Yarrowia lipolytica: one gene and its partner. The protein of the gene in region 2 purifies or fractionates together with the protein of the main gene of each other region. This does not show direct contact. Links are inferred from orthologs where the notes say so. Each region holds a gene or a part of one and is shown on either strand. Other genes may lie near its edges. The genes, in order: YALI1_B08438g and YALI1_B21562g.

Region 1 (11,811 bases), about 1.3 Mb from region 2:
TTTACACTTTTTCCACACACCTCTGTTAGCCGCAACACAACTGAGACACTAAAAATAGCAGAAAGTATGTAGAAGGGCGGGTACTGAGTTTGCGTCTAAGTGGGACGCTTATTTGCGGTTACAGGGACATTAACAGTAGTTTTAGAGACCAATTAAGTGAGAAATCCGACTGAAATTTACACAGTGGGTACATGATGATGTCGAGACTCTTCACATCAATTTTCAACCCGATATTTCGCCTATTCGAATCACTACCTCCACCCCAGTTGGGTACTCCACCTGAAAATAGCGTTAAACCCAGTTCGCCCGTTTGAGAAGGTGTTGATTTCTCATACTCCACAGATACCCCACAAAATCCGCAATTTTGGTCGAAATGGAAAAAAAAGTTGATATTATGAACCGTCTTGCTCCGGTGATTCCAATGGTATTAATAACAGCCAGACTTTCAGTACAAACATGACCAGATACTCGTCGCCAAACTCTACCTATTTATAGCCCGTGCCGTACAGTACATCCTGTCTCGTCCCTGCAACATCTATGAGCTCACCAATATGGACATGTCTCAGCTCTAGCATCATTTAAGACGCGTGGAATCCTCAGAGTCTGCTCTCTTGCAGATATGCTCAAATGCGTTGGACAGAACAACACGACAGGGTAGCCCAGGTACACGTTCGCACCCATTATTCGTCCAGTACAGACGAACAGATGGTTGACTACATGGTGGGACTGTATCCGGAGCTGGATCGCGAGACCGTGAGAATGCATGTTCGATTCTGGGTCGTTTACTACCGTCAAAAGGCGTGATCTATCATCATTGGGGGAAGTTGAGGGAGGAGGCATTCGTGGGCCACTGCTGGAACGAGATCTGAGTCCGGTCAAAAGGACGAGACCGAACAAATCATCATCTCTGGGGTAGAAAGAAGAGCTATTCCAAGCATATTCTGAAGTTCACTGAGCTGAAATTGCCCTAACAGTGGACGTGAGAGGGGAGGAGCAGGAGCAGGAGGACATTGGCTGATTGATTAGGTCAGAAGAACTCAAATTCGGACATATTCTGTGAATGTATATATGAAAACTTGATGCACGTTTTTGTTTTTGTATTTCTACCAACTGTACTTGTACAGTTAAGCCCGTTGAAGTGTTCGTCTTGGTTCAAGATCTGGGGTTTACAACTTTTCAGAGACCGAAAAACCCAGCAGAAACCTGGTCGTAACGGGTAATAAACGTCATCTAGGCGAAACCATACACATCTCCCGTGCCTGATACAAACGTTGCCTTGGTTTGTTCTTCTTCTCAAGAGAGAGGAGCCATGGCAGAAGCCCTGGAGTAGCAGCAAAGACTTTGCTGTACGTACAGTACCGCTCGTTTCTGGACTGCCTCAACCAACACAACAGAGAAACGTGCCAATAAAGTTGCTGGTAAATTGCTACAGTACCCAGCATCCTCGTTGCTTTTTCTACGTCTAAGTTAATCATCTAGTCTAATTATAACACGAATACGTGGGGAGCCGTTTATGGCAGTTCGTTTACCTTTCTGGAGATTAGAGATAGGAGGTATAAGTGGGGACTTATGGGAGTTGCCCATACTAGAAGGATGCACCTGGAATGCGTATTAGTTGGACCGCCCTTGTGTCTCCCGTTCTTTCCTCTTTGTTTTGGACATAACTCTGAGTTCCGATGTCGGAGATTGGCCAGGTGGAGTGAATTCAAATGTGTCGCCAGCAAAATTCCACGAACGCGGGACTGATATACAATGGTGTTCGACGATTGCTTCCATCCCCTGCTTTGAGCAATGTTACATGAACCTCTAGAAGCCAGCCGTTGAGTTGTCGGGTGATATGGCGCTATGTAGTTGCGTACAGTGTGTACATACAGTTGAGAAATACGAACTCCTCCCCGAAGAGGTGTTTCCCGAAGAGGAGTTTCCCGAAGAGGAGTTTCCCGAAGAGGTGTTTGATCAGTTAGTTGACCTTGGTGTGCAAACAAGGGATTCTTAGTCATGTCTTAGGCAATGTCCAATTACCGGTACTCTGACAGTATCTGCTACGCCAATCAATCGGTAGGGTCCCTTGAGACATTCCACGTTTGCATTCCACACACTGACTGTTCCAAAAATACATTGCAGAGAAAACTTTTCAATGTGAAAGATGTAGAATAAGTGTTAAGAATAGAATACAGAGGCATCTGGAGAATTACACGAATCCCTAGTAGTCATGTGTCGGTACTCACTCGCTGTAGCTACTGTCGACGGAACTAATCGATTTTTGAGCCATGTAGAACACGACAAAGTTACCATTCTTAGTGTTTCCGTCTTCGCCATCATTTTCAAGCTAAATAAAAGTACTACAATGTGTTTGCGTGGTTTTTTTCTGGGTTCTCTGGGAGCGCTGTACCGTGTGCTGTAGTCGAAAATAGAACACTTGATGACCTGAGAAGATGTTATAATTAGAAGGCGACTTGTTAATGGAGTATTTATAGCGTCAAAGAGTGTTAAATTTGTTTTTGGACGTATGATGACGCCTCTGAGTACATCGACTTTCTCGAAACGCTGGTGTGACAGATACAGTTCTAACTCACAAGTTCAACAGAACGCCAGAGAATGAGAGAGTACCCAGGGTGCCCAGAAGAGTTGACTAAAATGAGAAATATGAGTTTCAGTGAGTGTTTTTGAAGTCTTTAGGGGAGTCAGAGCGACGTGCTACGAGTCATGGCTATGGGTTGGGTTGGTTGAGAACAAGAATGGGTATTGCGGAAGTCAGAGGTGTGTTGGGGACATATGGAGTTGATTGAATGTTGTATTTTGGTGCTGGAAATGTTTTCAGTGACTCAGCATCTTCCTTTCGCCTCTCAAAGACTCCAGAGACCGACATATATACGGCGCCTAAATGACGGCTTGTTTCTGAGCAACTAAGAACTACTGGGAGATGCTGAGAGAGGTGGAAACTTCAGCTTCGGTTTCTGAAGCCCCAATTAAATATCCAACACCACTCACTGGTTGCTTTCAGCCTGTCTTCCCTCGTTTCATTTCTCCCTCCTCCACTTGACAATTTCAATCACGTCCGTCAACTATCTCTCCAAGTAACGCTATTTGTTAGTTAAGCCAAACAACCCAACCACAGACGTTTCTGTCTCTTGAAGAACGGCCTAAATCGTGCATATGTTGCGACCAGGGCGTAGCCCCGGTCGCAGCCCTTCCACTTAACTCTTCCACCAAGTGTCTAATTGCCACCAGTGTGCCATTTGCACCCTACGACATTATCTGTTGGAACCTAAAACGATGCGGATAAAAAAGTGTGACCGAGACGAATACATGTCCTGTAGTTCCGCGTAGAATGTCCTAAACGAGCGAACCGAGGGATATATAGCACAGATACCTGCGCTACTCGGGCCTCTTTCATTGTCGAAATCTAGACTTTCACTAACCCCATACAGCTCGGAACCAGTTTGTTGATGCACGTTCCTGCACCCCATTGTTATCACCACTATCAGAATTATGACAACACACCAAGAGAGTTGACAACAACATAACATAAACACAGACAGGTGCTGTGGACAAGAAACGGCACTAACTACATATACACACAAAACAACCCCGAGCGATCCATCTACCATAAGCCCGACTCGTCTCTTTGCATCTCACACATATCACATCTTAATGAACGGCTCACCATTAGCGAATCCCCCCACGACGACAACAGGTCGAACTACGAGTCCAGTGGTTCAGCCACAGACACGGACCCAAATAACGACACAGACACAATTGCCCAGCCAATCCACTCATCACTACCCCTCATTGGGCTATTTCAAACGACCAGGGGTGACGATTCTTGTCACTTCGCTGTTCTTTTTCTACCTCGGCTACGGTGTGTTGCAGCTGACAGGACCTGATGCATTTCTCATTGCTGTGTGTCGACGCACCCTTAACGATGGCAGTCTCACGGAATACGCCTCTGCGTGCCAAACGGACGCAATCCACACCAAAGTTGCGACCATGGGAGGACGACTACGAACTGCAGGATCCTTGGTAGGGTTGCTGGTCAAAATTCACATCTACAAGCTCTCAGACCGCTACGGACGCAAGCCGGTCATCGTCATGTCAATGGTGGCAGTTCTGTTCGCCTACTTGCTCCAATGGGGGTTCGTCACTTACGCTCTGTCGGTGCCTCTGTTCCTATGGATCATCCCCAACATTGTCTTCTGCACCCACTTTCTCATGGATTTCTTTCTCATCTACCTTGCTGACGCAGCCTCTGCCAGTAAAGGGAAGCGCAACCTGCAGGAGCTGGCTACCGATGTCTCCTTCTTCTACGCCTTCATTCTGTTTCTGGGCGCACTGATTGGCCCCATGCTAGCCAACACCGTGGTTGCAACCAACGCCGCCGGATCGTCGTTTGCTGAAATGAGCAAGCTGGGACTAATGCTTGTCTTTGCTGGTGTGTGCTGTGTCGTTGTGATCCTTCCTGAATCAACGACGCTCGAATCACGGGACAGAGCTACTGTGAAGTGGGATGCGGAGTGGAGCGTCTTGAAATGGGACGAGCGACTCATCTACGTGTTCAATTTTGTGGCACCAATCTCGAAAGTGCTTCGTCTGGCTCCTTCTCCACAGGATAAACGGAAGAACTCCTTCCTGCTGGCCTACCTGGCTCTCTTTGGTCTGTATGGAACATCTCAGTACACTGGTTTTCTGTTCTACAAACGCCAATGGAACTGGGGCATGCAGGAGATTACCATTCTCAACGTGGAAGTTACAATCATTCTAATTGTGTCCCAAATCTTCCTAGGACCTCTGTTTGTCAACACGGCGGAAAAATTGCTGAATAACACCACTTCTTCCACTCCTGTGGCTATCCTTGGATGCAAGCTTCAGGCAGTTCTGACTTTTGTGGTTGGCTTTTTTCAGCTGTTGTTTGCATCTCAGACCATCGGAACACTGGCTGCCATTCTCTCAGGTCTTTCGGGTACCTTCATCTCGTCCACCATTGCTCTTCAGATGGGTCTTGGACCGCCCGAGAACATGTCTGTTATCATGGGAGGTATTGGTGTAGCGCGGAGTCTGGTGGCTGTTCCCAGTGAGATGATTTTGGCGGTACTGTTTGTGACCACTATCTCCGCACCCAGAATTTACCAGGCTGCCCTTATGGCTGTCGATGCTGTCAGTTTGGTTCTGCTTGGTGCTGCGTCCAGAGAAAATACCGGCAGTATTATGTTGCCATAGAGTAGAGGCAACAATGTATATAGTCATAGAGGGTCGCATCTATACAAGCAAGCGTTACTTTCTACTAAATAATGCTTCTATTAATGTATCCTATGTAAGTATTTGTTGTACATGACCGTTGTTTTTAGACCACAGTCAACCGCTCCAAAAACCGCGTCAAGTCGTTCTTATCCACCTCAATCACCGCCATTTCAAACATGTCCATCTTGTATCTCGTATGCACATCTTCTGCGGCCTTCGCAAACCGCTGAGTAAACTGGTTGAATACAAATCGGTCATCCTCCAGGTCCTCTTCCATGACAAAATGGTAATCTCGGGCCTGTCGAGGGTTCATGCCCAACACCATGTAGTTTCCAGTACTCTTGTCCAAAGAGGCCAGCACCAGTGGAGGAGAATACTTCTTTTTGTGGGCCTCGGCCTTTGTCTGGGCAATCCAGATACCCAGTCGACACAATGCCAGGGGGTTTCTGAACAGGGCCAGATCGGGTCCCTCCTTCACCACAGCCACCAAGTAGTCCGACACGGGCCGAATCTGGCCCTTTTCAATCAATGCAGTAGTAGTTCGAGCCACAGCTTGTTGTAGCAGCTTGGCCTTGCTGATTCCAAGCAACAGTGTATCCACATCTTCCAACGAGTCCCAGGCGCTCCAAAAGTTGGCTATCCAGAACTGGTCTCGTTGCGATTCGTCACGATAGTCTTGGTCGACTGTGAGCAGAATGCCCTCCTTAATATGATCCAATCCCGCGGGTGATTTGTCCATTCCTAGCTGCAAAATAACACCAGCAGCATCCACACAATCTCCAGCTGTCAGAGAGCCCTTGTATCCAAACTTTCGCACCACTCCGGGTCGCAGAAGATCCTCCAGATCGGCCACCTTGGCCGCCTTTTCGATTCGTTTGTTGAGACCCTGCTTGACGCTCACCTTCAAATGGATCCAGCCCTCTCGAGCCTCTGTCAATGAAACACCCATGATGGCCAGCATCTTCTGAAAGTTCTGACGGCCCTTTTCCGTCCACAGTTTCATCTTGGCCCAAATGTAATCCGTGTGGAACATGGAGTCGTAAATGTTCCAATGTCGAAGCACAAACAGCGAGTAGTCGGTTTCGAGTTTGAGAGACGTGACCAGCTCCTTTTCTGACACGGGGGCCTCAGAGTTTGCATTCTGGGCCATCTGGGCGGCTGCTTCTTCGTTGCCGACTCGATTTACTTCATCTGCAAGCATGGGAAACGAGTCCTGGAATACTTGCGGGTATTGACTGTCCAGAGAAGATGTTCCCACGACAGCTAACCATAAGCGAGTGATTGACGTTTCACCAATAAGCGACATGAGAGTGTAGAGCATGCAAGAGGCTGGGGAGGACTGAGAGGTGCCTTGCTGGTAGTAGGCTCTGATCTTGTCTTCAAAGTCGTCTTTTTGTTTCTTCGCCGACAGAAGTTGGGAATGCAGTTTCTTGGCGTCAGGCAGGTCTTCAGAGTTGGACCGTTTCGAAGGAAGTAGAGTGTCCACTAGATCACCACCATCGGAGTCAGAATCATTGTCGTCGACAGTATTGGTGTGGTGACCATTTCTCTTATGAATTTGCTGGTCGTCATCGTCGTCGTCATCGTCACCCTCATCTTCCAGATCACTCAGAGCGTCCAGCTCTTCGGCACTCATGTCGTTCAGCCAGTTGTATGCCACCAACAATTCCCCTCGCTCTTCCAAATTGCCCCGTCCGTCGTCAAAGCACACAATCTTGGAATCCAAAATGTTATCCAAGTGCCAGGGCCGGTTTCCGTCCACAATGTAAATCTTTTTGAGCTCCATCTCCTCGTCGTCCCCCCTCAACAGTTCCCCCACATCCTGAGTGGCACCGAACCCAATGAAGAAAACGTTGAGAATCTCGGGGTCCAGAGCCCGGTACTTGCGAATCATCTCCTCGTAGCCCGTCACCGGCACCGTCTTGTGGGGGATCAACTGGGCTCGCAGCAGATCAGAAAACATTCGAGCTCCACACAGAGCGTCCACATTGAGACACGACACAAACACCACCAGCTTGCACGTCATGTGAGCAATACTGGTCTTGCACAGCGCCCGATACGTCTCTTCAAACTGGTCTGGTTGGATGATCATGGTGTGTCGTTGTCAGTCGTCACTCACTTTGATTCGGTGTGGTGGAAAGACGCGTCAAGGTAAAGTTACGCGTGTGCAGACCGGTAATTAGAGGTTAGGGTACTGCAAAGAAAGTGCAGTCGGTGTGGTCACGTGAGGGTGTATATCTATGTGTGTGTATGTGTGTGTGTCCTGGTCACGTGATCGAAAAGGCGAGGGCGGAAACTGGCCCATAACGTGTCTCACAATCACTACAAGTAGATCAGGGGTGGAAACAAGTATGGATTTTAGTAGAGTTGGTGAAAAAAAATTGGTTTGTATGTAGGTATGTTTGTAGAGGTGTTTGTAGAGGGGTTGTAAGAAATATAAAAAGTGGATGTTGTAGAGAACGTGTTGGGGATTATTTCAATGATTTCTCCTTTGTAATTTGAGGTTCCTAAGTATCCACTATAGGCGTATGTATACTTTTACCTGTTACCGTACATTCTCTGGTTTGATGATAAGGTTTGTTAAATAAATGCCTTTAGTATTTGTTAAATCAATGGGATAAACTGTTGACACTAAACTAAGTCCCAACTAAATATTGTGGAGTACAATACAACACATTATTCAACAATTCAGACCAGTGCTCGTGTCGCTGACACCTGGTTACATTATTAATTACTGCTATTACAATTGAGGGGGAGGGGCGTCGACGTTAGCACTGGCTATCTTGGGCTCCTCTTCATTGGATTCGACGGCCTCGACCATCTCCTCCGAGTGTTTCTCGTCTTCGGGAAGGGCGCCAGGAACGTGGTCAGGCACCCAGTTTGCGGTTCTCCAGGCAGGAACTCGGGCGGCCCACATCATATCAATCTCTTCGAGGGTCTTGCCCTTGGTTTCGGGGAAGAGGACAAAGACGTGGATGGTCATGACGATACAGAAGACTCCAAAGATGATGTAGGTCTTCCAGTTGATGTTCTTGAAGGCCGAGGGCACGAATAGAGCGAGAGCAAAGTTGAAGATCCAGTTGGCAGAGGCGGTTACACCGGCAGCCACAGCTCGCTGCTTCAGAGGGAACAGCTCGGAGCAGTACAGCCAGATACCGGGGCCCCAGGTAGGCGCAAAGGTGGCCACAAACAGGTACGAGCACGCAATGACTCCCTTTTGGGCAGGCTTGTGAGTGGGCTCAATGACAATGGTTGTGAATGCGTCTCCGTCGAGTCCACCGGGGATCTGAGTTCCGTACACTGCAAGGATACCAGCGACGGCAAACAGCCAGATCATCATGACGATTGATCCGAACAGCAGCAGGGGTCGTCGTCCCACTCGGTCAATGAACAGAAGAGCGGGGATGGTCATGATCATGTTGATGACGTACTGGATAGACGAGGCCACCAGGTTGGCGTTTCCAGTGTATCCAGCCATGGTGAAAATCAGCACAATGTAATACATCATGACGTTCATGCCGGTGAGCTGCTGCCAGATCTGGGCCCAGATACCCACCATTGTTCGGTTGATGGAGTCCTTTTGGAACAGGTGCCAGAATCGCAGGTTTTTGGTCTCATGCTCGATTCGGACTGCTTCTCGGATCTCTTCAATCTCTAACAAAATGTCTTCTTCGGTGCCGTAGCCTCCCTGGTGGATGGCTCGAAGCACTCGCACGGACTCGTCCCAGTTGTCCTGCTTGGCTAGCCATCGCGGAGACTCTTCCAGGAACAAACAACCGAGAGACATGAGCAGACCGGGGATGATCTGCAGACCCCAGGCGACTCTGAATCCGGCGACTCCGTGGATGTTACTGAGACCGAAGGAAATGTAGAACATGATGAGGATACCCCAGGTAACGGCCCATTGGAAGAGACCGACAAGCCGACCTCGAATCTTCTTGGGAGACAGCTCGGAGATGTAGACGGGGATAACCGAGGAGCCCAGACCGATACCAAGGCCGGAAATGAGTCGACCGGCGATCAATTGGCCCTTGTTTTGGGCTGAGGACTGGATGGCAGCTCCAACCACCCACCAAAAGGAAGCAAAGTGGATGGCGAAACGTCGACCAAGTCGGTCGGAAATCCAGCCGGCCACCAGAGACGACAGGAAGGATCCACCGGCCATTGAGGCAGTGATACCGCCCTGCTGGATGGAGGTGGGGTACCCAAAGTACTCCTTGTAGGGTTTGGTGTCGACAAAGGCAGAAACAGACGAGATATCAAAGCCGAAAAGCAGACCACCCATGGTGGCCACGGCCGCAGTTAAGTAAGGATTGTGGAGTTTGGGGAACCGGTGCTGTAAGGCTCCCACCTGGTTAATTTGAGCGTTTCCAATCATTTTTTGGGGGGTGGGGGTGGACCGTGAGTCCGTTGACTTGTTATTTATACTGTTTCATTTAGCGCGTGAGACAAGCTATCTGCAGAGCGAAGGGGGTCTTTTAGACGGGTTATAGTCACTTGTAGGGTACTTATAGGGTACAGTACTTGTACTTGTAGTATGGGTCGAAACTACCAGGTGGTCTTGGGTGGGTGGTCCAGGACGGTCCAGGACGGTCCTGATGGTCATGGGAGGTATCCCATTTGCCGAATCGCCAGGTTGCACAATTGACACCGAAAGTTGCCAGATACACCTCTGTCTTCGGCCCCGACAAGCGGCTGAACACCTGATACATGTCACGGCACTACCGACTCTTTTGTCTTCCCCGCAGAGTTCTAGTCTACTACTTGTAGGAGGAGCCAAGATGCCAAGCATGTCAGAAAAATACGAGATTTCGGGGCGTTCGCAGGCTGTGGATATGGCATATCACATGAATGAATGTCTGCTGCGATAGCAATTGGTCCCTGTTGGTGTTTCCGCGGGCTGGTATTCTCAATCACGGTGTTGACAAGGTCGCACGGCAACTACTTGTTTGGATTTGGTTTGCATTAAACGTACCCGGTCTCCAAGTTTCACGCCATTGGGGGAGACTGTTGGTCGAAAACAAAAAGAAATGGCTAGATTCACCTCATCTGGGGGAACCAAATCATAGCTTTAAAATTTGAATCTGTTGGCAGTTTCCACGGGTACTACTGCCTCCCCCAAAATCGAAAACTAGCGTTAGGCTATGTGGGGCTACGATACCTTGTTAGGAGCTTGAAATGGGCTAAAAAGGAGCGTGGAAAACATAAAAAAACGAGCTTTGAATGGGAAAAGAGTCAGGGGGGTGGCTGTTAACAAAAGCGTGACATTTCCCGAGCCTTGGTCACGTGTAGAGTTGGATTTTCCACGCTATTTTTGGGTCCATGTTACCTACAGGTTCAACCCTTGGCCTTCTCAACACGGTCTCAGATGACCTATACGTATGTACGTGTATTGTACCGACGAGCTAGTGCGAGACTGAGGGGCTACATTCTTCTCCACTTTTTGGCCCGTTTGTTTTTCCGGGTTTGTCCAGACGTGATTTGGGCGCTTCACGGGGGAAGTGGGTCTGAATGTGCTCTGCGATTGTGGGTATGGGCCTGATAAGAATACAAAGACGGTTCTCGAGCAGTTCACAAAGTAGTAAACTGCGTGCGTGCATCAGTAGCCGTGTCGCTTCCGGGGTATGGGGTCTAGACGGGGTCGACTATATGAAGCCGCTAGAAGTGCGTCATACGGCACTATTTTTCCGGGGTAGGAGAGTGAGACAGAGGATTGAGTGTGAGAAGTGAGATGGAGGTGGGATTGTGACCGAGTTTCAAGGTCTTTTTTGGTCGAGACGTTGCTGTTATTGGATTTATCAAAGTGCTAAAAGGTGCCGAATTTCCGGCTACAACGAACCAGGTGGAGTGGTTCTGGTCTGGTGCCCAAAAGACTGGTTCATTCGTGTGGTCTGATATATGGCTCCACGTTGAGTAAATCGTCGAGTAGCCGAACTGCTTCTGTCCTCAAAAGCCATAGACGCGGCTCTATCCATTGACACAACCAAGTCTCACATCCAGGCATGTCTCAGGCCTAACTCAGTAGAAGCAGACTCAGTGACTTTTCTGAGACTTGCAAATAATATGGGGGAGGACGTTCTCTCTCCATATTCCACATTCTGGAGCCTAGTTCCCCGAGTCGGCCTGGAGACTAGCTGGAAAAACTACCGAGGAACACTAGTTGGTCTCCAGCGGGTTTAGCACCGCGGAAAGCAGTTTTTCCCAGCTGCCAAGTCTGAGACATGCCCTAGCTACTGTACTGTAGATCGATGGTTCCGACAAAAATGCCGTTTGAACGTTGAGCATGTGGAAATTTGGGACATCTCCGACTTGATTGCAACGAGGTGAAGCACTGGAATCTTACAAGTAGATCTACAGTACCAGCACGCATTCAAAACAAGATACGGAACCAATAAAAACCCTTGGACTTGTACAAGTACAAGTAGGATAAACTCCCCAGCAGTATCCCCGCTTCTGTGCCTGCTATTGACCCCTCCATTTTGGTCACGTCACCTTTTACTGTCCGACATGACACCAACATCGTCTGGTTGGTTTGCACGATCTAAATGAGACATGTATGGAAACGACGACAGA
Region 2 (11,811 bases):
TTGGTGTTCTGTCTGACATTGACGCTGACACTCCTAACGTTCTGGCTTACAACGGTGGAGGTGAGGACCTCAAGGACTTCTGGGCCGCCAAGTCTGCTGAGCAGATTGAGCTCGAGGAGAACATTCACGAGGCCGTGGACCATGCTGGTAACTTGATCACCTCCATCCGAAAGATTCTGTTTGGTTTCTAAGGAATGACCCAGGTGCAACCGTCTCATGACTATTTATATGTTACGAAACTATTTACTACAATAAGATGCTTATATGATTCTGGTAGCAGTCTGCGTATGTCAATATTACGGCAGCTCTTCCTACTCTTTGTGTCGTACCGTATGTACATACTGGTGTCATCTGGCTCGATGATACTCTTTGAAGATGTTAATGGTCGACTTATCGACACAGTTCACCTGAAGCACGGAAGATTTCTGGTTTGTGTGTAAGTACCGACCCCACAGTATGTACAAAACGCTGATGTCTCGTACATTGTACATTGATTCCTTCTAATACTCTACATACTATCCGAGCATGATCTCTTCAACACTCCACGAACTAACACATCAGGCCAGCCATCGATCTTGTAGTACCTGTTACTCGTACAATATCGTAGATAGCATGTGCCACAAATGGGAAATCTCAGATTTTCGAAAGAACCTGTGAATTTTGCAAAAACCACGATCACGTGACTTATTCCAGAGTAGACCACCACGACGGGTCAACAAGTCGTCCAGCCATCATTAGTCAAGCACCAGAGAGTTCAATTCTGAAGTATTTGTACAGCGTGAGACAATACAGGAATTCTGGGTGTTACCTTTGGCTTCGTGGCTTGATATTTATCATTTACGTGTTTCAGTATTTGGTAACTCCATGGATTGAGACATCATCATATAGGCTTATGAGTAACGGGCGACTCTTTATAATATACAGAATGTGCAAGGGTTACAGTAGTACTACAAGTTATAGTAATCTGAAGAGTGAGTTACAGTGTTACTGTACCCGTAGTATGTATGTACCCAGTACAGTAGCCACGAACTGTACTCGTACTGAAGTTACTGAGATACAATAATTGGAGAGTCCCCTAATCATGCCCGTTCCTTCGGTCTAGATTTTTTACTAAGAATGAGCTACTTGCATTGTACCAGAGAGAGTCCATCACAGAATATGTGAGGGCGCGGCTCTGACGTCATCTCTGGGGCTCTCCTATTGGATGGCAAATATTTTCATGCTTATCGTCCTCGAGCAGATGTCTTCGATTACGGCCAAGTCTCGGCGCAGAAGCTCTTACCTAAATCTGTCGTGCCGAGCCGAACCATCCATGCCACCTGCCACCGACGTACACTGTATGTACTAAACTAGACTGTCTTTGAGACGATGCTCACGCTCACGTGGTCAGAAATCTCCGATGCTACCCTGGCCTGAAGTCGATCAATATACAATGCCGCTGCCCCTTCAAAAAACACGGCGTGGAGTTCTTTTCCTCAGAATTACACGTGATGGCAGAGCTGCCAAGCCTGCTGCCTCCAGTCTATTCTTCCGTTAGAGCGGACACAACGTTACCCGGCGGGGAGACTCAGACCAGAAGATGTGCCAGACTGGATAGAGCCACAACAAAGCGGTTTCACGTGAGACAGGGAGGACTCTCGGGTGAGGTTTCCTGATTTGAATAATTAAATGTATCTCATGGGTACGTATAGTACAAGTAGGTGCACTCAACAAGTTGCTGAACCAAGCATTTACCCCATTTCCCCTCCTCTGGGAAGATGGGGATAAAATGTCACGTGACCTAATAAACAAGTTACAAATTCATTGTCTATGTAATCGAGTGGAGTTTTCCGATATCGGGATTTCCCCGCCGGTTATGAGCCACTCTCCCTTTTGCGTTGCCAAATAAAATTGCGAGGATGATAGAGTTCCGAGCAGAGGTAAGTTAATTATGGAGGCTGAGTTAAGATGGAGAGGCTGAGATACGGCTGTGGAGACTCTACAATAGACATAGAGTTGCCCAGGATGAGTGTAAAGAAGGGACTTCGTCGGCTTGATAACCCAACGACAAACAGGTTTTTTTTTGCATCAATGTTAATTCTACCATAGTCGAACGCTGTTAAACTTGCCTCCTTTAATAACGCCCCCCTTTACGTCATTTTCCCTCACAGCGTGCGTCCTATAGGCACATAAACTTGCCCTTCATAAATCCCACAGCATACATCAAAAGCCGCTTTATGTGCGCGTAGAAGCCGCCATTTGTGCGTGCGAGGCGTAGGTAAGAGAACTCGAGCGGTGTCGGAGCTTTATATACCGGTATCGGTGCCCCCTATTAGACTTGCTAGTTTAGCTGGTTTTCTAGATCTACGGTAGCGCACTTGGGGTCATGGGCATTTTCCACCTAAGCGAGCAATATTTTCAGAGATCAAGGTCCGTCTAGAACCGTTAGGTGGCATGTTTCTCCTCGAAGTCCTTGTCTGCAACGTGTACAGCTGGACCCGTTTGGTGGGGTAAAGACAAACGAGGCAGACTCGGAGAGCACAGAAAAAAGGGCAATGGGGAAAAAAGCAAAGTCTAAAAAGCTAAAATACGTGGAGCCATGGGCAAGCAATAAGGTCTGTGTAAGGCACTTTTCGGCGAGAGAGAAGTGGAACAGTAGCTCAGAAGAGAATATGCATCTATGCCCTTCTAGGGCTGTATTTCTTTTTCCCAGTTGATCGGGCTTGGTCACGCTACTTGACCGAATCAGCCATCACTTAGTGTGTGTCTAATGCTAGCCAAGAGCTAACGGTCAGAGTTGCATGCATTCGGTGCTGAAGGAATAATCAGGGAAGTAACCATCTGTATCAAATGCTCTCTCTCCTTTGACAAATATTGCCGGAAATCAGTCCACATGAGTATTGCACCTCCTAAATTTGCCTCTCCTCTTTCCCCACACGGCTATCTTGTTTTACCTGCACCAGTAAACACAGTTCACTGCGCTGCACGGCTAACCTAGAGCATGTTACACCCGGCCACCTTGGCTTATAAACGTTGGTATGGGACGCTAGTGTAGACTCTAAAAGTGTTGTTGCAAAGAAATCCATCTCATTTGAACTGAGCGGGTTTTTATTGCACATCTTTACACCTCTCTCTTGCATCTTTTGTGAACATGGAAAAAAACGAAGTGGTATCAACCAACTCTCCCCACGAGGAGGGATCTGTCACTGAGGCCAACAACGGACGATGGGCCAACTTCAAGGACTCCTTCCGACGAGCCGATCTGAGCGAATACGACACCGAGGGTCTTTCTGATCTCGAAAAGGCCGCTCTGGCAACCGCTAACTCCCCTCTCAGTCGATCCCTCAAGGGACGACATCTCCAGATGATTGCCATCGGAGGATCCATTGGAACTGGTCTGTTTGTTGGCAGTGGAACCACCCTGGCCACTGGAGGACCGGCAGCCATTCTCATCGCCTACTCCATCATTGGAACTATGTTGTTTTGCACCATGCACTCTCTGGGAGAACTGTGTGCTTGCTTCCCCGTCTCCGGCGCGTTTGCCTCTTACTCTACTCGATTCATCGACCCCGCCTGGGGCTTCGCCATGGGATGGAACTACACTCTCAACTGGTTTATTGTGTTCCCCCTGGAGCTCGTAGCCGCAAGTCTGACGGTCAACTACTGGAATGAAGCTAACGGAACCAACTACAATGCTGGCTGCTGGGTCGCTATCTTCTGGGTGCTAATTGTCTCCATCAATTTTTTCGGAGTCAAGGGCTACGGAGAAGCCGAGTTTTACTTTTCGCTTATTAAAGTCATTGCTGTGGTCGGATTCATCATTCTCGCTATTGTTCTGACCTGTGGAGGAGGACCCAACCACGACTACATCGGAGGCCGATACTGGCACAACCCCGGCGCTTTCTCTGCTGGTGCCAAGGGAGTCTGTGCCGTCTTCGTGTCTGCTGCCTTTGCTTTCAACGGAACTGAGCTGGCTGGCCTGGCTGCTGCCGAGACCGCCAATCCCCGAAAGTCCATCCCCACTGCTACCAAGCAAGTCTTCTGGCGAATTACCCTCTTCTATATTGTGTCTTTGACTCTGGTCGGCTTCCTTGTTCCCTGGGACCACCCCCAGCTGCTCAACAAGAGCTCTTCTGCTGACGCTTCCGCCTCTCCGTTCGTCATTGCCATCAAGGCTGCCGGCATCAAGGGCCTTCCATCTGTCATGAACGTCGTCATTATGATTTCCGTTCTGTCCGTCGGCAACTCCTCTATCTTTGGTTTCTCTCGAACTATCGCTGCTCTCGCCCAGCAAGGTCAGGCTCCTTCCTTCTTCGCTTACATTGATCGAAAGGGACGACCTCTGTTTGGCATCATCACAGTCTCGCTCTTTGGACTGTTTGCATTCATCTGTGCCGGTCCTATCGAAACCCAGAACACCGTCTTCTACTGGCTCATGGCCATCTGTGGCCTCTCCTCCATCTTCACATGGGGCTCCATCAACCTGTGCCACTTCCGATTCCGAATGGCCATGAAGGTCCAGGGTCGATCTCTCCGAGAAATGCCTTTCTTGTCTCACGTCGGAACTATCGGATCCATGTACGGCTTCCTGCTCAACGTAACCGTGCTTGGATTGCAGTTCTGGATCGCTCTCTTCCCCGTGGGAGGTGCCAAGCCTAAGGCTGACGTCTTCTTCCAGGCCTACCTGGCTGTACCTGTTGTCCTGGCCTTCTATATCTTTTTCAAGCTGTGGAAACGGCCCAGCTTCGTGGCTCTAAAGGACATGGACCTCGACACTGGACGACGAGAAACTGACTTCGAGCTGCTCATGCATGAGATGGACGAAGAGGCTGCCTACATTGCCTCCAAGCCCTTCTACTACCGAGTTTACAAGTTCTGGTGCTAACCGCTGCATTTAGTGTTATATATATATATTGTTTGTTATTAATTGAAGAGTACAAGGACAAGTGCACATTTCATTCAACTTATCGCTACTGTACATACGAGGAGCGATGGGAGCACTACTTCGGGGTCTGCATCGTACGATACAGTATATATATATACTCATACGAATTGTACAATTACATCACAAGTACAAGTACCCGTACAATTACAGCACAAGTAATAAATATACATGCAAGTATTACTTGTACTGTTTACTCATACTCATACTCATACTGTACATACGTACATACTGTACTTGTACTTCAGACATTTGACACACGCTCTGTCCAACACCCACCACATTGATGACAGTGCACCTCGGCGAGTACTATGTGCTGTGCGCCATGTTTGCCTATAATGTAGAAATAACCTGTTTTTGTCAACCCAAATAACGAGATAAATCCACAAAGCCGCGTTTGTATGTCGGTTTATTGCTTACCCCCTCCGCCAACACGTTGCTAGGGGCTCCAGTTAAGGTTTGAACGCGACGCGTTCTCCTTGCCAAAATAGGACTAAATTAAGCCGGGTAACTAGACGACGTGTTTTCTGCATGGGACAAGAATATATCCCAATCCTCCTGAACACAACACATCGTACCGAAAACCACACACGAACACACCATGGACCTCGTCGACCAATTAATGACCGAGGGGATGGAGGGTCCCTCTTCCCCCGGCCCTCCTTCCTCGCCCGGAGCCAATTTGCCCTCTTCTTTCGCAGGACGAACACCTGGAACCACATCTGCTCATGGAGGCCCTAGCTCTGACCAATACAGAGAACCAGCTGCCATGGATGTACCTCCGGACGAGGAGGTGCGAATGCGGCGAATTATGGAGCAAGAAACAGTTCCCAAGGTTCAGGACGCCACTGGAGAGAAGGTGCGTGATCTATTTGAAGAGTTTCTGGAGACTTACGTTGATGGATCAAATCCGGAAGAGTACTCTGATGACGAGGATGGAACTGCGTATGACGGGCGACCTTACGTACGACAAATCAAGGGTCTTCGAAGTTTCAACAAGTCGTCAATTTTCGTGGACTACAGACACATGAGCGAGACTGAAGATGGTATTCTGGCCCAAGCCATCAGTGACCAATACTACCGATTCATGCCATTTTTGCTGCGAGGTCTGACCAATGTGATTCGAAAGATTGAGCCCGTGCTTCTGCAACAGTCTGTAGGCTTTTCTGAGGATGGAAGTTCGACGTTTGGAGGATCCAAGTCGTCGTCTGCCTCAGATCAGCCCCGACACTTTCAGATCTGTTTCCACAACCTTCCTGTCGTGTGCAGAATTCGGGAACTCAAGACCGACAAGATTGGTTGTCTTATTTCTCTAGGGGGTACTGTCACTCGAACGTCCGAAGTGCGTCCAGAACTGTACTTGGGAGCCTTCCAGTGCCAGGAATGTCATACTGAAGTGGACGGAGTGGAGCAGGTGTTCAAGTACACAGAGCCTTCGATCTGTCCCAACCCCATGTGCGGAAACAAAAAGATGTGGAAGCTGCTGATGGACAACTCTGTGTTCTTGGATTGGCAGAAGGTGCGTGTGCAGGAAAACGCACATGAGATCCCCGCTGGATCTATGCCCAGAACCATCGACGTCATTCTTAGAGGTGAAAATGTGGAGCGAGCTCGAGCAGGAGATCAGATGATTTTTACTGGAGCACCTGTTGTCATTCCTGACGTCACTCAGCTTGGCCTGCCTGGTGTGAAGCCTCGAGCAGTTCGAGATGGAGGCCGAGAAACTTCTGCTGTGGAGTCTGGAGCCGTCACAGGACTCAGAGAGCTTGGAGCACGTGATCTGACCTACAGGATATCTTTCCTAGCTTGTTACGCTGCTCCTGCCAACATTCTGGACGCCTCTGCCAACGACAACTACGCCGAGAACGCTGCTGACGAACAAGAGGAGTACATTCGAAGTCTGAAGTCTGCCGAAGTGGAGCAGCTTCGTGATATGGTCCACGGACAGGATATTTTCCGACGTCTGGTACGATCCATTGCTCCTGCTGTGTACGGTCATGAGACTGTCAAGAAGGGTATTCTACTGCAGCTCATGGGAGGAGTGCACAAGAAGACAGCTGATGGAATTCGACTACGAGGAGATATTAACATTTGTCTGGTTGGAGATCCCTCCACTGCGAAGTCCCAGTTCCTTAAGTACGTCACCTCGTTCCTTCCTCGATCTGTGTATGCTTCCGGTAAGGCATCCACTGCTGCAGGTCTTACAGCAGCTGTGGTTAAGGATGAAGACTCTGGAGAGTTCACCATCGAAGCTGGAGCTTTGATGCTTGCTGATAATGGTATCTGTGCTATTGATGAGTTCGACAAGATGGATTTGGCAGACCAGGTGGCAATTCACGAGGCTATGGAACAACAAACTATCTCCATTGCCAAGGCCGGTATTAACGCTACTCTGAACGCCCGAACTTCCATCCTGGCCGCTGCAAACCCTGCCAAGGGTCGGTATGACCGCAGACTCGGTCTGCGAGCCAACGTGCAGATGTCCGCTCCTATCATGTCTCGTTTCGATCTGTTTTTCGTCATTCTTGACGAGTGTAATGAGGCTACGGATACCGCTCTGGCCAGCCATGTCGTTGACCTGCACATGCATACTGATGAGGCCATCGACCCTCCCTTCTCCACTGAGCAGCTGCAGCGATTTATCAAGTACGCCCGTACCTTCAAGCCCATGCTGACCCCCGAAGCCCGAGCAGTTCTTGTACAGCAGTACCAGCAACTCCGAGCCGACGACGCCACCGGAGCTGGAAACAGTTACCGAATCACCGTTCGTCAGTTGGAGTCCATGATCCGTCTCTCTGAGGCCATTGCTCGAGCCAACTGTTCGACCATCATTTCCCCTGCCTTTGTTCATGAGGCTGCCAAACTGCTCAGAGACACCATCATTCTCGTTGAGCGGGAAGATGTGCTTCTGGACGAGGAGGAGGACACCGTAGACGCTGCCGAGGACGCCGTTGACGAGGCCATGGAAGCCACCCAGCTAGCCAACCACACACCCCGGGACCAGATCACTCACCAGCAATACACACACATGGTCAACATGATTGTGTCCAAGCTATCGGAGAACTACACCGACGATGCCGATGCCAGTAGAATCGGAATGTCGCTGGATGCACTACTGGAGTTCGTGCTGGAGCAATACGAGGAAGATATGGTTGATGAGGAGGATGTGGAGAACCACACTCGGCTGACCAAGAAGGTCATCAAGAAAATGAAGAAGAACAACCTTCTCATGACCGTGCGAGGTAATTTAGACGACCTGGAGGCCCCAGGAGATGGAACTGAGCTGTATGTGATCCATCCTAACGCTGCGGCCGCTGAGTTGGAGGAGACTAGACAGACAGGAGGTGTCATGCCTGATGACGAGTAGGGATAAATGAGCTTTCAGGATAGCTCTCCAGTAATACACACTCAGTTCATACCACACGACTTTAGAGAGTAAGTAACTAATTAATGTATTTTTATTTTTATTGTTTTCCAAGAGATTATTAATTTTATGATCTCCTTGTATTTATAGCAAGATGTGCAAGGTGAAAGCTGATGAAGAATGTTTGTAAATACAGTAAGCCGCCTCTAGGGTAAAATAGAGATGCCTATTAATACACGTACGAGTACGGTAAGTTATATTTCTAGCTTATATAATCACGGGATCTTATACATATTCAACCATATACAAGTGCCATGTATGCGGGGGTGATACGATTTAAGCCTCATTTTTAGAGCCCATGATTCTGCGCAACAGTAGCTAGCCCATGATATAAGACCATGAAGTTAAGGCCATACTTGACGTGTGAAACAGGCCTGATATGTTTTGAAGACGGCTCCAGTAAGTCGCTCCAGTACAACCAATGACACAGGAAGGAGGTTCATGTGCACCACCCAGAAACTCTCCAAACAAATACATTTAGGCTTCGCGTCAGACGCGTGTGATTAGGTTTACTAAACTTCGGGGGTGAAATTCACAGGAACATCTACGCACACCATGAGTGACTGGACTCCTGAAGGCGCTCTTCCTGCCGATCTCAAGGAGGAAATCGCGGCAGCTGCCACCGGCACAGAGTCGCTTCTGGCATTCCTGAATGTTGTTGAGCGGCTCAAGACAACTCCTCGAACTGGCTGGCTGAGATACAAGATGATCGATGATCCTGGTGAGTGACAACGATATAGGGAAGATCTCAGCTTGGACTAACACAGAATCTATTGCCGACCACCAATACAGAATGTCCATCATCGCCATGCTGTCTCTGTCGCCCGTGAACCAGAACACCTGTGTCAAGATGGCTCTAGTGCACGATATGGCCGAGGCTATTGTGGGTGACATCACTCCGTTTGACGATATGACAAAGGCTGAAAAGTCGCGACGAGAACACTCATCGATCATCTACATGGCTGCTTTGGTGGAGAAGTACAACCCTGTGGCAGCCAAGGAGATCGTCGATCTGTGGAACCAATATGAGAACTGCTCTACCGACGAGGCCCGACTGGTCAAGGACATCGACAAGTTTGAGCTCATGCTGCAGACTTACGAGTACGAGAAGCAGCACAAGTTTGCTGAGGATCTCAGTCAGTTCTACACTTTGCGAGGCGTCATCAAAACTGAGGAGATTGGAAAGTTGGCTGACGAGCTGCTCAGAAAGCGGCAGCTGGCCATGGACAAGTTAGGTGTCAAATGGGATTAAATATATAGAGGGTATCGCAGTTGAGCACATATTACATACTCTATTAATTAATTATCTATATCTATACATTCCTCCTAGTAACACCCAATGACTTAAGAGTCGAGGTTACAGTAATAACTCTGTTGAACGCCCAGCTTGTACTTGTGGTTTAAATGTTGTCCCTACCAAAGATCATAGCTGCAACTGAATGTCTTAGCGCAATAGCAGCCAGACCGGAAGCAAACTGGATACCCAGAAGCACAGCGGCAAGGTGATCCTCTCGCAGGGGTCCAACATAGACCAAAACCAGGTTGATCAGTGTCATGTTGGAGATGCTGATGACAACTCCCTTCTCGTCTCTCCACACTTTCAGCAGGTGTAGCTTCTCCAGCACGTAGATCATTATTTGGCCAAGCTTACCAGGCTTCTTTTTGTCAAAGTAGGTCCGGGAAGGCTCCAAAAGACCTGTCTCGGGGTTGAATTTAGGCAGTCTATGTCGAGGACAGTCGACAATCTTGAACAGCTGAGGCACAGAGTACAAGAAGTTGAAGATCTGGGGCACAAAGAACAGCAGGAGGGTCTTGGAGAAGTGGCCGAGAATACCAACAACCGCAAAGACCATGCCGGCGAAGTAGCAGTAGGTGTCTCCAACAAAACATTTTGCAGGGCACCAGTTGTGTCTCAAAAGAGCGATACTGACAGCCAGGAACGGCAGCAGCAGATAGACACTGAAGAGATGAGATTCTTCAGCGGGGTGGTTGGGCTGAACGAGGTAGATGAAATCGTTCAGCAAGATGCACACGCCAATCATAACCGATTGGCCAACTTCCAAGCCGTTCACGCCAGCGTAAATGTTGATGGAGTTAGGGCAGAAGATGGCCACGGCCGCCATGTACATGTAGTAAAGAGCCCCGAGGTCCACTATGTCTCCAAAGTAAGGTCTCAAAACCACGGGAACCATGACGGCTGTAATTCCAAAGTCCACGTAGTAAACTATGAGCAGCGGGATGGCAGCAATGGCAGGTAAGAAGAACTTGTTTCGCCATCTGATATCGAAGAGATCATCTGCAACACCCAGGATGAACATGGACTGCAGACACAGGATGGCAGAAAGGTACTCGGCGAGTTTTTCGTGAGGGAACGCACTGAGAATTCGTCCCTTGACCAGTCCCTCGCTCAAGCTGTCGTAACCCACAACCACGCCACCTCCGATGGTTTTGGCCAGGTACTGGTAGAACACAAAAGGAATGAACAGAAACATACAAAACAGGTAGACAATGGCACATACGGCTCCCATGGTCTCGGGAATCTCAGGCCGGTCTTTCTTGGACAGGTCTCGACCCGAGAAGCCGACCTTGATGAAGGCTGGTCCAAGTGCAGGAATCAGGTTGTAGGTGACCAGATAGGCGATGAGGGAGAAACCGACTGACGACAAAAGAGGCTGGTCCGCGGGATTGAAAATCAGACTGGCCGAAAGAGCCAAGATGGCCAGTACCGTCCATATCGACGAGTACATAATGTGTGTGTTTTGGCGGGCGTGAGGTCGACGGAGTTTCGTGTTCGAGGTTGTCGTTGTAGATCCACGTCATGCTGTATGTATGCATGTCCAAAGTTTATTCAGAGTAGTATTTTTGTCGCGCATTATGGTAAACGGCGTGTTACAGGATCATAAGCGAGCCGATGTCAGACCAGCTACCAAGAGTAATAAGGGGGTCAGTACAGGTTATGTGGTAGTACAAACGTGTAAAAAGACCGTATCACGGTATATCTGGGTCTGAAGTGGCGTTCTCGATATTGCTTTATAGATTCTGGTTGTGGAGAACAGTTCTCTCCTGAACAGCAGTAATTGTATTACAGTGAGTGTTTTGGTGCCTCCTGAGACCAGCCTTCTTGAGTTTATTTGTGAAGTTGGGGAGCACACTTGAAATGGTCAATATTGGACTCGTGCGAATAAAACTGATGGAATGTATCATAGCTGCTACCCACCGCTTTACTGTAGTAGTTCCATCAGCTTTCTGCTATCGTTCGAGCGCTTTTATGTGAGCTGAGTTCGATCACACATCCTAAGCACACCGCAATAAAATCATGATGCTATCCTACACATTCCCCTTGAACATCAATCATAACACGACAATAAAGATAACACGAATAGTGAAAACAAACCTGTATGGATAGTGGCTCCTTTCACTTTTCAACATACGAAGATACTGCTTCACTAGATTTCAGTCTCTCTTA

The links.
Region 1: the proteins of YALI1_B21562g (region 2) and YALI1_B08438g purify together in Schizosaccharomyces pombe (affinity purification with western blotting; 3 studies listed by BioGRID). This does not show direct contact. The link is inferred for Yarrowia lipolytica from reciprocal best matches to the Schizosaccharomyces pombe genes mcm6 and cdc45.

The regions. Positions count from the first base shown.
Region 1 is NC_090771.1:836,508-848,318, forward strand, and holds YALI1_B08438g (uncharacterized protein), read right to left. Parts: upstream 7,331-11,811; coding exon 5,342-7,330; downstream 1-5,341. Other genes in the region: YALI1_B08374g (uncharacterized protein), read right to left, coding at 544-907, 953-1,011; YALI1_B08401g (uncharacterized protein), read left to right, coding at 3,655-5,217; YALI1_B08461g (uncharacterized protein), read right to left, coding at 7,979-9,616. UniProt on the Schizosaccharomyces pombe protein: Required for initiation of chromosomal DNA replication. May have a role in regulating the MCM proteins nda1 and nda4.
Region 2 is NC_090771.1:2,150,747-2,162,557, forward strand, and holds YALI1_B21562g (uncharacterized protein), read left to right. Parts: upstream 1-5,522; coding exon 5,523-8,288; downstream 8,289-11,811. Other genes in the region: YALI1_B21493g (uncharacterized protein), read left to right, coding at 1-191; YALI1_B21538g (uncharacterized protein), read left to right, coding at 3,131-4,864; YALI1_B21594g (uncharacterized protein), read left to right, coding at 8,684-8,744, 8,884-9,066, 9,113-9,597; YALI1_B21618g (uncharacterized protein), read right to left, coding at 9,746-11,092. UniProt on the Schizosaccharomyces pombe protein: Acts as a component of the mcm2-7 complex (mcm complex) which is the putative replicative helicase essential for 'once per cell cycle' DNA replication initiation and elongation in eukaryotic cells.